2 linked regions of the Macaca mulatta genome follow. Each later gene encodes a partner of the first gene's protein in a complex. Links are inferred from orthologs where the notes say so. Each region holds a gene or a part of one and is shown in the gene's direction. Other genes may lie near its edges. The genes, in order: RASIP1 and RAP1B.

The links.
Region 2: the proteins of RASIP1 (region 1) and RAP1B are in contact, whole or in part, in a crystal structure (PDB 5KHO), measured with the Homo sapiens proteins. The link is inferred for Macaca mulatta from reciprocal best matches to the Homo sapiens genes RASIP1 and RAP1B. Residues at the interface, in NP_060275.2 of Homo sapiens: Val147, Lys149, Ala156, Ser157, Gly158, Ala159, Asn160, Tyr161, Lys162, Ser163, Val164, Leu165, Glu181, Arg182; in NP_001010942.1 of Homo sapiens: Val24, Gln25, Asp33, Pro34, Thr35, Ile36, Glu37, Asp38, Ser39, Tyr40, Arg41, Glu54, Leu56, Phe64.

The regions. Positions count from the first base shown.
Region 1 is NC_133424.1:61,201,262-61,205,771, reverse strand, and holds the start of RASIP1 (ras-interacting protein 1), read left to right. Parts: upstream 1-1,703; 5' UTR 1,704-1,791; coding exon 1,792-2,090; intron 2,091-2,323; coding exon 2,324-2,464; intron 2,465-2,985; coding exon 2,986-3,671; intron 3,672-4,510. Other genes in the region: IZUMO1 (izumo sperm-egg fusion protein 1 precursor), read left to right, coding at 308-408, 668-821, 1,133-1,310, 1,583-1,703. UniProt on the Homo sapiens protein: Required for the proper formation of vascular structures that develop via both vasculogenesis and angiogenesis.
Region 2 is NC_133416.1:75,770,107-75,773,913, forward strand, and holds part of RAP1B (ras-related protein Rap-1b), read left to right. Parts: intron 1-1,186; coding exon 1,187-1,255; intron 1,256-2,799; coding exon 2,800-2,856; intron 2,857-3,807. UniProt on the Homo sapiens protein: GTP-binding protein that possesses intrinsic GTPase activity. Contributes to the polarizing activity of KRIT1 and CDH5 in the establishment and maintenance of correct endothelial cell polarity and vascular lumen.

The DNA.
Region 1 (4,510 bases):
AGACAGATCGCCTGAGGTTAGGAGTTCGAGACCAGCTTAGCCAATGTGGTGAAACCCCGTCTCTACTAAAAATACAAAAATCAGCCGGGCATGGTGGCGTGCGCCTGTAGTCCCAGATATTCAGGAGGCTTAGGCAGGAGAATCGCTTGAACCCGGGAAGCGGAGGTTGCAGTGAGCCGAGATCAGGCCACTGTACTCCAGCCTGGGCGACAGAGCAAGATTCCATCTCAAAAAAAAAAAAAAAAAAAAAAAAACCCAAACAAACAGAACCGTGAAAGAGTGTCCCATGGTCTTCCTCCACCCCCAGAGCGCAATGTGGAGGTTCCTCAAATGGAAGATATGATCCTGGACTGTGAGTTAAACTGGCATCAGGCTTCTGAAGGCCTCACTGATTACAGCTTTTACAGGGTGAGGGCCTCAACTTCTGTAATCCTTGAACTCCCTAGACTACAATACTTGTGTACTGGATCTGTGGGCCTGCACCCACGATTCTCATGACCCAGGCGGGTGGTCTATTAGGTGTGGTCTCTACTGGGGATCCCGTGCCCCAACCAGTGACACCCTGGACACCCACCTCCCACACTGAGGCCCTGTGATCTTCTCAACCCGGTACTCCCCCAACCCCTGAATTCCTCAGGCCTCAGTGACCCCTTGAGCTTGGGTCTAGGTTTGGGGGAACAATACGGAGACTTTGGTGTCCAAGGGGAAAGAGCCCACCCTGACCAAGTCCATGGTGGGTCCAGAGGATGCAGGCAGCTACCGCTGCGAGCTGGGCTCTGTGAATTCCAGCCCAGCCACGGTCATCAATTTTCGCGTCACAGGTCAGTGCTGTGGGGTTGAGAGAAGTGTAGGATTCAGGGCCCAGGAAAGCTGGGGGTCCGCGTCGGGGGCGTGGCCTCGGCGATGGGGGCGTGGCTTCCTGTTGGGTGTGGTTTCGGGGCAAGGGGTGTGGCTTCCCGCCGGGGGCGTGGCCTCTGACCCCGAGGACAGGCGTTCCCTTGGGTGTGTTCAGGCTTTACACTGTTGAAGGCGTGATTATCTCTGGGATGGCAGGCTACCGGGACGGGCTTGCCTTTGCCAGGGCAGGAACTCCACGCCCTGCCAGGACTGCTCTTTACACTTTCTCTAACAGTGTTGCCCAAAAGGGTCGAGGAGGAAAAACCGTCCCCAAATATCGTAACCCCGGGGGAGGCGACCACGGAGTCGTCCAATACCCTCCAGCCTCTGAAGCCCGAGAAAATGCTGAAAGGCCGCCTTCTGGGGCTGCTGATCTGGGGCTCCCTAGCACTGATAACCGGCATTACCTTTGCGTGAGCAACCCGTTGAAGAAGGCTGGCTAGGCTTGGAGTAACGGGCGGGGCTTCCAGGAACCCAACGCAGAAGCTGGGCTGGGGGCTACTGAGGACTGAGAGCAGGACTTTCCTGGGGATGGAGTGCGGGGGGCTTGCATAGGAGGACTTCGAAGGGCGAGGCTTAGATAATTGCTAGAATAAAGTCACACAGGGGGTGGTTGGGAGGGGTGTCCCCCACACAATTACTACCCAACCCGGTTCCATGATCTGCACCCCACTCCCACCCCTAGGATATTTTGTCGAAGGAAGGTGATCGATTTCATCAAGTCCTCACTGTTTGGCCTTGGCAGTGGAGTGGCCGAGCAACCCCAGGTCCCAAAAGAAAAAGCCACAGATTCGAGGCACCAATAAAGATTTATCTTGTTGTCTAAGCATCTGACTCACTCCCCTGGACGGGGCTGATCCTAGCCTTTGGTTCCCCGAGAGCAGAGGTCTGGGGATGGGCTCCGGCCTGAGGGAAGAAGGGCGGGAAACCAGGACCCTTGGGTCGTGGAGGGGGCCATCTGGCTGCGACGTAATTCCAGAATCAAGGAATGGGGCAGGGCCAATCCTCCCCAGATCTCCTCCCCCAGGCCTGGTCTCCTCACAGGACGCCCCCTCCCCGCTCTTCCTGCCGGGTTTCCTCTTGCCTTTTCCTGTCCCCCACCCAGTGCTGGGAGCCGTGGCAGAGGCAAGAGCAGTGGAACTGACCCAGGCCAGTGGAGCCAGGGCCTCCGGGTGTGCCGGACCCGAAGCAGGGTAAGAGCCAGGGACCCAGCGGCCCAAACCCTCCTCCCTGGGACCCAAGACTCAGTCCCCCAGCCATCTTCCATCCCAGGACCCAGGAATCCAGGGTACCATCCCTCTCCTCCCTCTGGGCTCGCAAGTCTGAGCCCCAGTCCCCTCCTCCCTCTGACTCGGAGTCCAGGTTCCCTCCACCCCATTCCCACAAGAGTGCCTTAGGAGTTGAGGCCTTCCTCGCCTTCCCTTAGGGCCATGCTATCTGGTGAACGGAAGGAGGGCGGAAGCCCCCGCTTCGGGAAGCTTCATCTCCCCGTGGGCCTGTGGATCAATTCCCCCAGGAAGCAGCTGGCGAAGCTGGGGCGGCGCTGGCCCAGCGCAGCCTCTGTCAAGTGAGTGCCATCTCTGCAGGACTCCTGGCCCTGCACACCTGCCTCCCATCTGTCCCTGTTCACGGCCCAGTCCTGCAAAGGGTTGGCTCCGGTCCTCATCCTGAATTGGGCAAGCGAGCTTGTGGGTAGTGCGAGACGGTGGGGCGCAGCGATACCAGGGCGCTGTGGGAGTAAGAGCTAGGCCAGGCAGGAGGTGGAGTGAGGCCAGATCGGCACCGGGATGAGGACAGAAAGAGCAGGGGGATTGATTCACCTTCCTTCCTCCCCTCTCTGCTCACCTCTTGGAATTTCCCTCTGTGGGACTTGCCTTTATTTATTTATTTATTTATTTATTTATTTATTTTCTCTCTCTTTGCCTCGCGTCTCTGTGCCAACCCTCACCCCCGCCCCGTCCATCCACCCTGGATCCCTGTCCTCTCTCTGGGTCTCTGCTCACTTCCCTCCTAATCTGTCCTCCACCCCCGTCTTGGCGTGTTGTTCGGGTCTCTCTCCCGCGACTCTGTTCCCCGGCGGACTCCCAGGTCTTCTTCGTCGGACACGGGGAGCCGTAGCAGCGAGCCGCTACCTCCGCCCCCGCCGCACGTGGAGCTGCGGCGAGTGGGCGCTGTCAAGGCGGCCGGGGGAGCCTCCGGTAGTCGCGCCAAGCGCATCTCCCAGCTCTTCCGGGGCTCGGGGACCGGGACCTCGGGGTCCGGCGGCGCGGGAGGCCCTGGGACCCCGGGGGGTGCGCAGCGCTGGGCCAGCGAGAAGAAGCTGCCGGAGCTGGCGGCGGGCGTGGCCCCCGAGCCCCCGCTGGCCACCCGCGCCTCCGCGTCCCCGGGGGTCCTCAAGATCTTCGGCGCCGGACTGGCATCGGGCGCCAACTACAAGAGCGTGCTGGCCACGGCGCGCTCCACGGCGCGCGAGCTCGTGGCCGAGGCTCTAGAGCGCTACGGCCTGGCCGGCAGCCCCGGTGGCGGCCCGGGCGAGAGCAGCTGCGTGGACGCCTTCGCTCTGTGCGACGCACTGGGCCGGCCCGCGGCGGCGGGCGTGGGAAGCGGCGAGTGGCGGGCGGAGCACCTGCGCGTGCTGGGCGACTCAGAGCGCCCGCTGCTGGTGCAGGAGCTGTGGCGGGCGCGGCCCGGCTGGGCGCGGCGCTTCGAGCTGCGCGGTCGCGAGGAGGCACGGCGCCTGGAGCAGGAGGCCTTTGGGGCTGCAGATGGCGAAGGTGAGCTGCGGGCGGGGCTCTGGGGCGGGCACTCGGGGCCAGAGAGGCGGGGTCCGTGGGGCGGGGCCTGGGCGGGGCTTGTGGGACCCGCGGGCTGGCTGGGGGCGGAGCCCGCGGGAGGGGACTGGACGGTGCGTGTAGGACTCTAGCAGGTGGAAGGCAGAGCTAGAGCAGGGCCGGGGGCGGCCAGATGGGCGGGCCTGAGAGTTGGGTGGGGCTTGTTGATTGAGCAGGAGTTTTACGGGGGCCGAGGCTGGGGCTTAGGCGGGGCGGGGGCTGGTTGCTGGTGGTGGCTTGGAGTGGCCTGAAGTGGTTCCGAATTGGGGTTAGGGCCTTCTGCAGGTATTTCAGACTGCCTTGGAGGAGGTGGGGTGTGTAGCGGGGTCTGCGGAGTAGTAGATCCTGAGGAGAGTTTGTGGAATGGGCAGGAGTCCGCAGGGACCTGAGGGATTCGCCCTGTGTGGTAGGTTAGAGGACACTAACAATTTGCTGACCTTTGAAAGTTTCTTTCTCTACCCAATCCCCACTTTCTGGTAGGGTTTCTGCGAGGTCTGTTAGGTGTACATCCTGCAGCTTAGTGGCTTAAAATGTATTCTTCTTCGATGTGGTTTCTTGGGGCCAATTGGGAGAAAGTGAAATCAATAGCGCAACTGTTTTGATACTGAATATTGACAAGGGTCTTTTTGAATTAAAGAACTAGTCCTGGCCGGGCGTGGTGGCTCACACCTGTAATCCTAGCACTTTGAGAGGCTGAGGCGGGCGGGATCACCTGAGGTCGGGGGTTCGAGACCAGCCCGGCCAACATGGTGAAACCCTGTCTCTTCTAAAAATACAAAACT
Region 2 (3,807 bases), on another chromosome or scaffold:
TTTTGTAGAGATGGTGTCTTGCTGTATTGCTCAGGCTGGTCTTAAACTCCTGGCCTCAAGTAATCCACCTTTGCCTCCCAAAGTGCTGGAATTACAGGCATAAATCACCATGCCTGGCTTGCTTTTTCTTCTTACATATAGTCTTACCCTATACATTTTATGTTAGAAAATATCAAAGCTTATAAAAAGTCTTCTTCAAATATTACGTTTGACTGTCCAGTTTTACATTATTATTTTAATGGCCATGTTTTCTGCATCAAGGAATGGTGTAGCAAGAATAACTCGGTAATGAGGGTTGGGAAAGGGGAAAAACGTAGGGAAAATAATTTGATGAATAGTTCAGAGCTTAGCAAAGCCTCACAAGCAAATAGATTGACCTTCTGCCTCACTCATAAGATAAACCATCTTGGCCACTTAGAAAGGCCACCTAGCTGAGAATTGACATGCTTGGAACAAACGGAGAAGTATATATGATGTGAAATGAACTGCTTTTTCAATTTGTATCCAAAGTGATGGGGAGGTCAGTTGATTGTGCATGTATGTGTGTATACATAACATAAAATTAGTCAATTTCTAATTTAAAATTCAAATTTAAGCTCTTAAGACTGAAACAACACCGGCACGGTGGCTCACACCTATAATCCCAACACTTTCGGAGGCCGAGGCGGGCAGATCACCTGAGGTCAGGAGTTCTAAAGCAGCCTGGCCAATATAGTGAAACCCCATCTCTACTAAAAATACAAAAATTAGCCAGATGTGGTGGTGCATGCCTATAATCCCAGCTACTTGGGAGGCTGATGTGGGAGAATGGCCTGAACCCAGGAGGCGGAGGTTGCAGTGAGCCAAGATTGTGTCACTGCACTCCAGCGTGGAAGACAGAGCAAGACTCTGTCTCAAAGAAAAAAAATAAAAGAATAAAAGACTGAAACAAGAGACATTTAAAATTTTTAAATATATGATCTCTAAATTTAGAATTACCCAATAAGGAGCATAGTGATTATTTATTTAAAAATAGAAAACAGCTTTCTGAGGTAATTTTCTTACCAAATATATACATTCAAATGTAGTATTGGCTGTGGTTTTTTTCACCGATGGTGTAACTCCCTGTGTGAAATCAGTTTACAATTTAAAGATTGAATGTACTCTTTTCTTTAGAAGTATAATGGTTTCTTAATTTTTTTTTCAGACTGTACAGTTTGTTCAAGGAATTTTTGTAGAAAAATATGATCCTACGATAGAAGATTCTTATAGAAAGGTATATATTACTTTGGAAGGCCTTTTGCTTTTGATTTTAATATAAATATTTTAGCTGTATAATTACTGAATGTTTTGTATAAAGTAGGATGGAGGCAGAGTTAATTTATAAAATTAGTGGGAAAAGTTTATAATTACTTTCTGGCATTGCATATTTACCAGTTTAAGAGGATCATAAACCCTCATACTCTCACATATTCACAGAATTTTAAGTTTATCCTGACCCTGAAGTTGTAATTTGACACGCAAACTTTAAAGCATGCCATCCATTTCAAGTAGTAGCCCCATGTTACTTCCTATCCCCTACCTAGCAAGACTGATTACTCTCAAGCTCCCTTCTTTTTAACCTAGAAATTGGTGGACACAAGTCTTCCTAAGCTTTCTACTTACTAACCTCTTGAGAAAGTGCCACCACTCACAATATGGGTTGAATATCCCTTATCCAAAATACCTGGGACCAGAAGTGTTTTCAGATTTCAGATTATTTTCTGATTTTAAAATATTTGTATATACATAATGAAATAGAATGGGACCCATGTCTAAACAATTCATGGTTTCATATACACCTTATACACATAATCTTATGTAATATTTTTAATATTCTTACACATGAAGCAAAGTTTTGGCTGCATTTTGACTGTGACTGGTCACATGAGCTCATGTGTGGAATTTTCCACTTGTAGCATGATGTTCCACACATGGCTCAAAAAGTTTTGGATTTGGAACATTGCAATTTTTGAATTTTTAGATTAGGAATGCTCAGCCTATAGTAAGGTGAATTCCTGTGACCACTAACATTATGTGACAATAAAACAATGTGTAGACATTTTTAACATAGTAGGGAAAGAGGTATTTCCCAGCTTTTATGAAGCAACTAACCTGGCCCTGCTGTTGTACAAATACTGTGTTTCCGTTCCTCCCTCCATGTCCACAGTCTACCAAAAAAACTGGAAACTTTTTTGCACCCCAGCTATGAGACAGTAATACTCTTTTCTTTCTATATCTAATTCTAAATACCTATTTTTTCCTAGGAAATATTAGATGGAAAGGGGTAACAGGGATATATGTGCAAGTTATTTAATAGCTGTGGCTCTGCTTCCTTAATACCAGAAATCTTGTTCCAGTATGGTGAGGGCATATAGTTACCTAGAGAAATGAGGTATATCGAAAGTATCATGGGAGAATTGAGATAGATTACTTACGATATTGTTGGAACTATTGCTGGTTTTGTTTATTTATTTGAGCTATTTTGAAACTATTTTTTCTCTAGAATTAAGTGCTGAGAGATCATACTGAGACTGGATCTTGTAGGTTTCCCTCTGTTGACTTGAGAACACATGGCTTTTGAACCCGATTACAATTTGGGGGTCTTTGAATCTTGATTACTTAGCTATTTTTCCTCCTGCTTTGTTGAAGTATTGCTTGATAGTAGTTTGTAAAGTTGTTATAATCTGTGTATCTTATTTTTGATACATTAGCTTTTTTGTGTATATTAAGGTAGTCTTACATTTAAAAAATGAACATGTATTTTAATTTTTCTACCAGCAAGTTGAAGTAGATGCACAACAGTGTATGCTTGAAATCTTGGATACTGCAGGAACGGTAGGTAAAACTAAATATCAAAGTATATGCACCGTTTGTACAGTATTGACTTCATAAACGCTAGTACTCTATAGACAAATATTAGTTAAGCTTATTTAAAAGTACTGCTTGCAGCTGGTCGTAGTGGCTCACACCTCTGATCCCAGCACTTTGGGATGCCAAGGTTGCCAGATCACTTGAGGTCAGGAGTTCGAGACCAGCCTGGCCAACATGGCTAAACCCCGTCTTTACTAAAAATATAAAAATTAGCTGGGCATGGTAGAACATGCCTGTAATCCCAGCTACTCAGGAGGCTGAGGCAGGAGAATCTCTTGAACCTAGGAGACAGAGGTTGCAGTGAGCTAAGACTGTGGAGACTGTGCCACTACACTCCAGCCTGGGTGACAGAGCAAGACTGTGTCTCAAAAAAAAAATAAAGAGTACTGGTTGCTAAACTTTAAATCTTTTTGTTGTTGTTCTGTTGAATTCTTAGTTTTATATTGGCCGGGCGCAGTAGCTCACGCCTGTAATCCCAGCACTTTGGGAGGCCAAGGTGGGTGGATCACTTAAGGTGAGGAGTTCGAGACCAGCCTGGCCAACACAGTGAAACCCCATATCTACTAAAAATATAAAAAAATTAGCCGAGTGTGGTGGTACACACCTGTAATCCCAGTTACTCGGGAGGCTGAGGCAGGAGAATAGCTTGAACCCAGGAGGCGGAGGTTGCAGTAAGCCAAGATCGTGCCACTGCAGTCCAGCCTGGGCAACAAAGCAAGACTCCGTCTCAAAAACAAAACAAAAAAAAGTATATTGCACTTTTTGTAATTGCAGTGGGTCATTTAAAAGTTTAGAAAATGTGTTAGAAGGAAAATTTTCAGTCTCACTAGTACTTTTAAAACAATATATTACCATATTTCAAATAATACAGGCATACATTCATTCCTCAGCAGCTGTGTGAAATATTTTGATTGA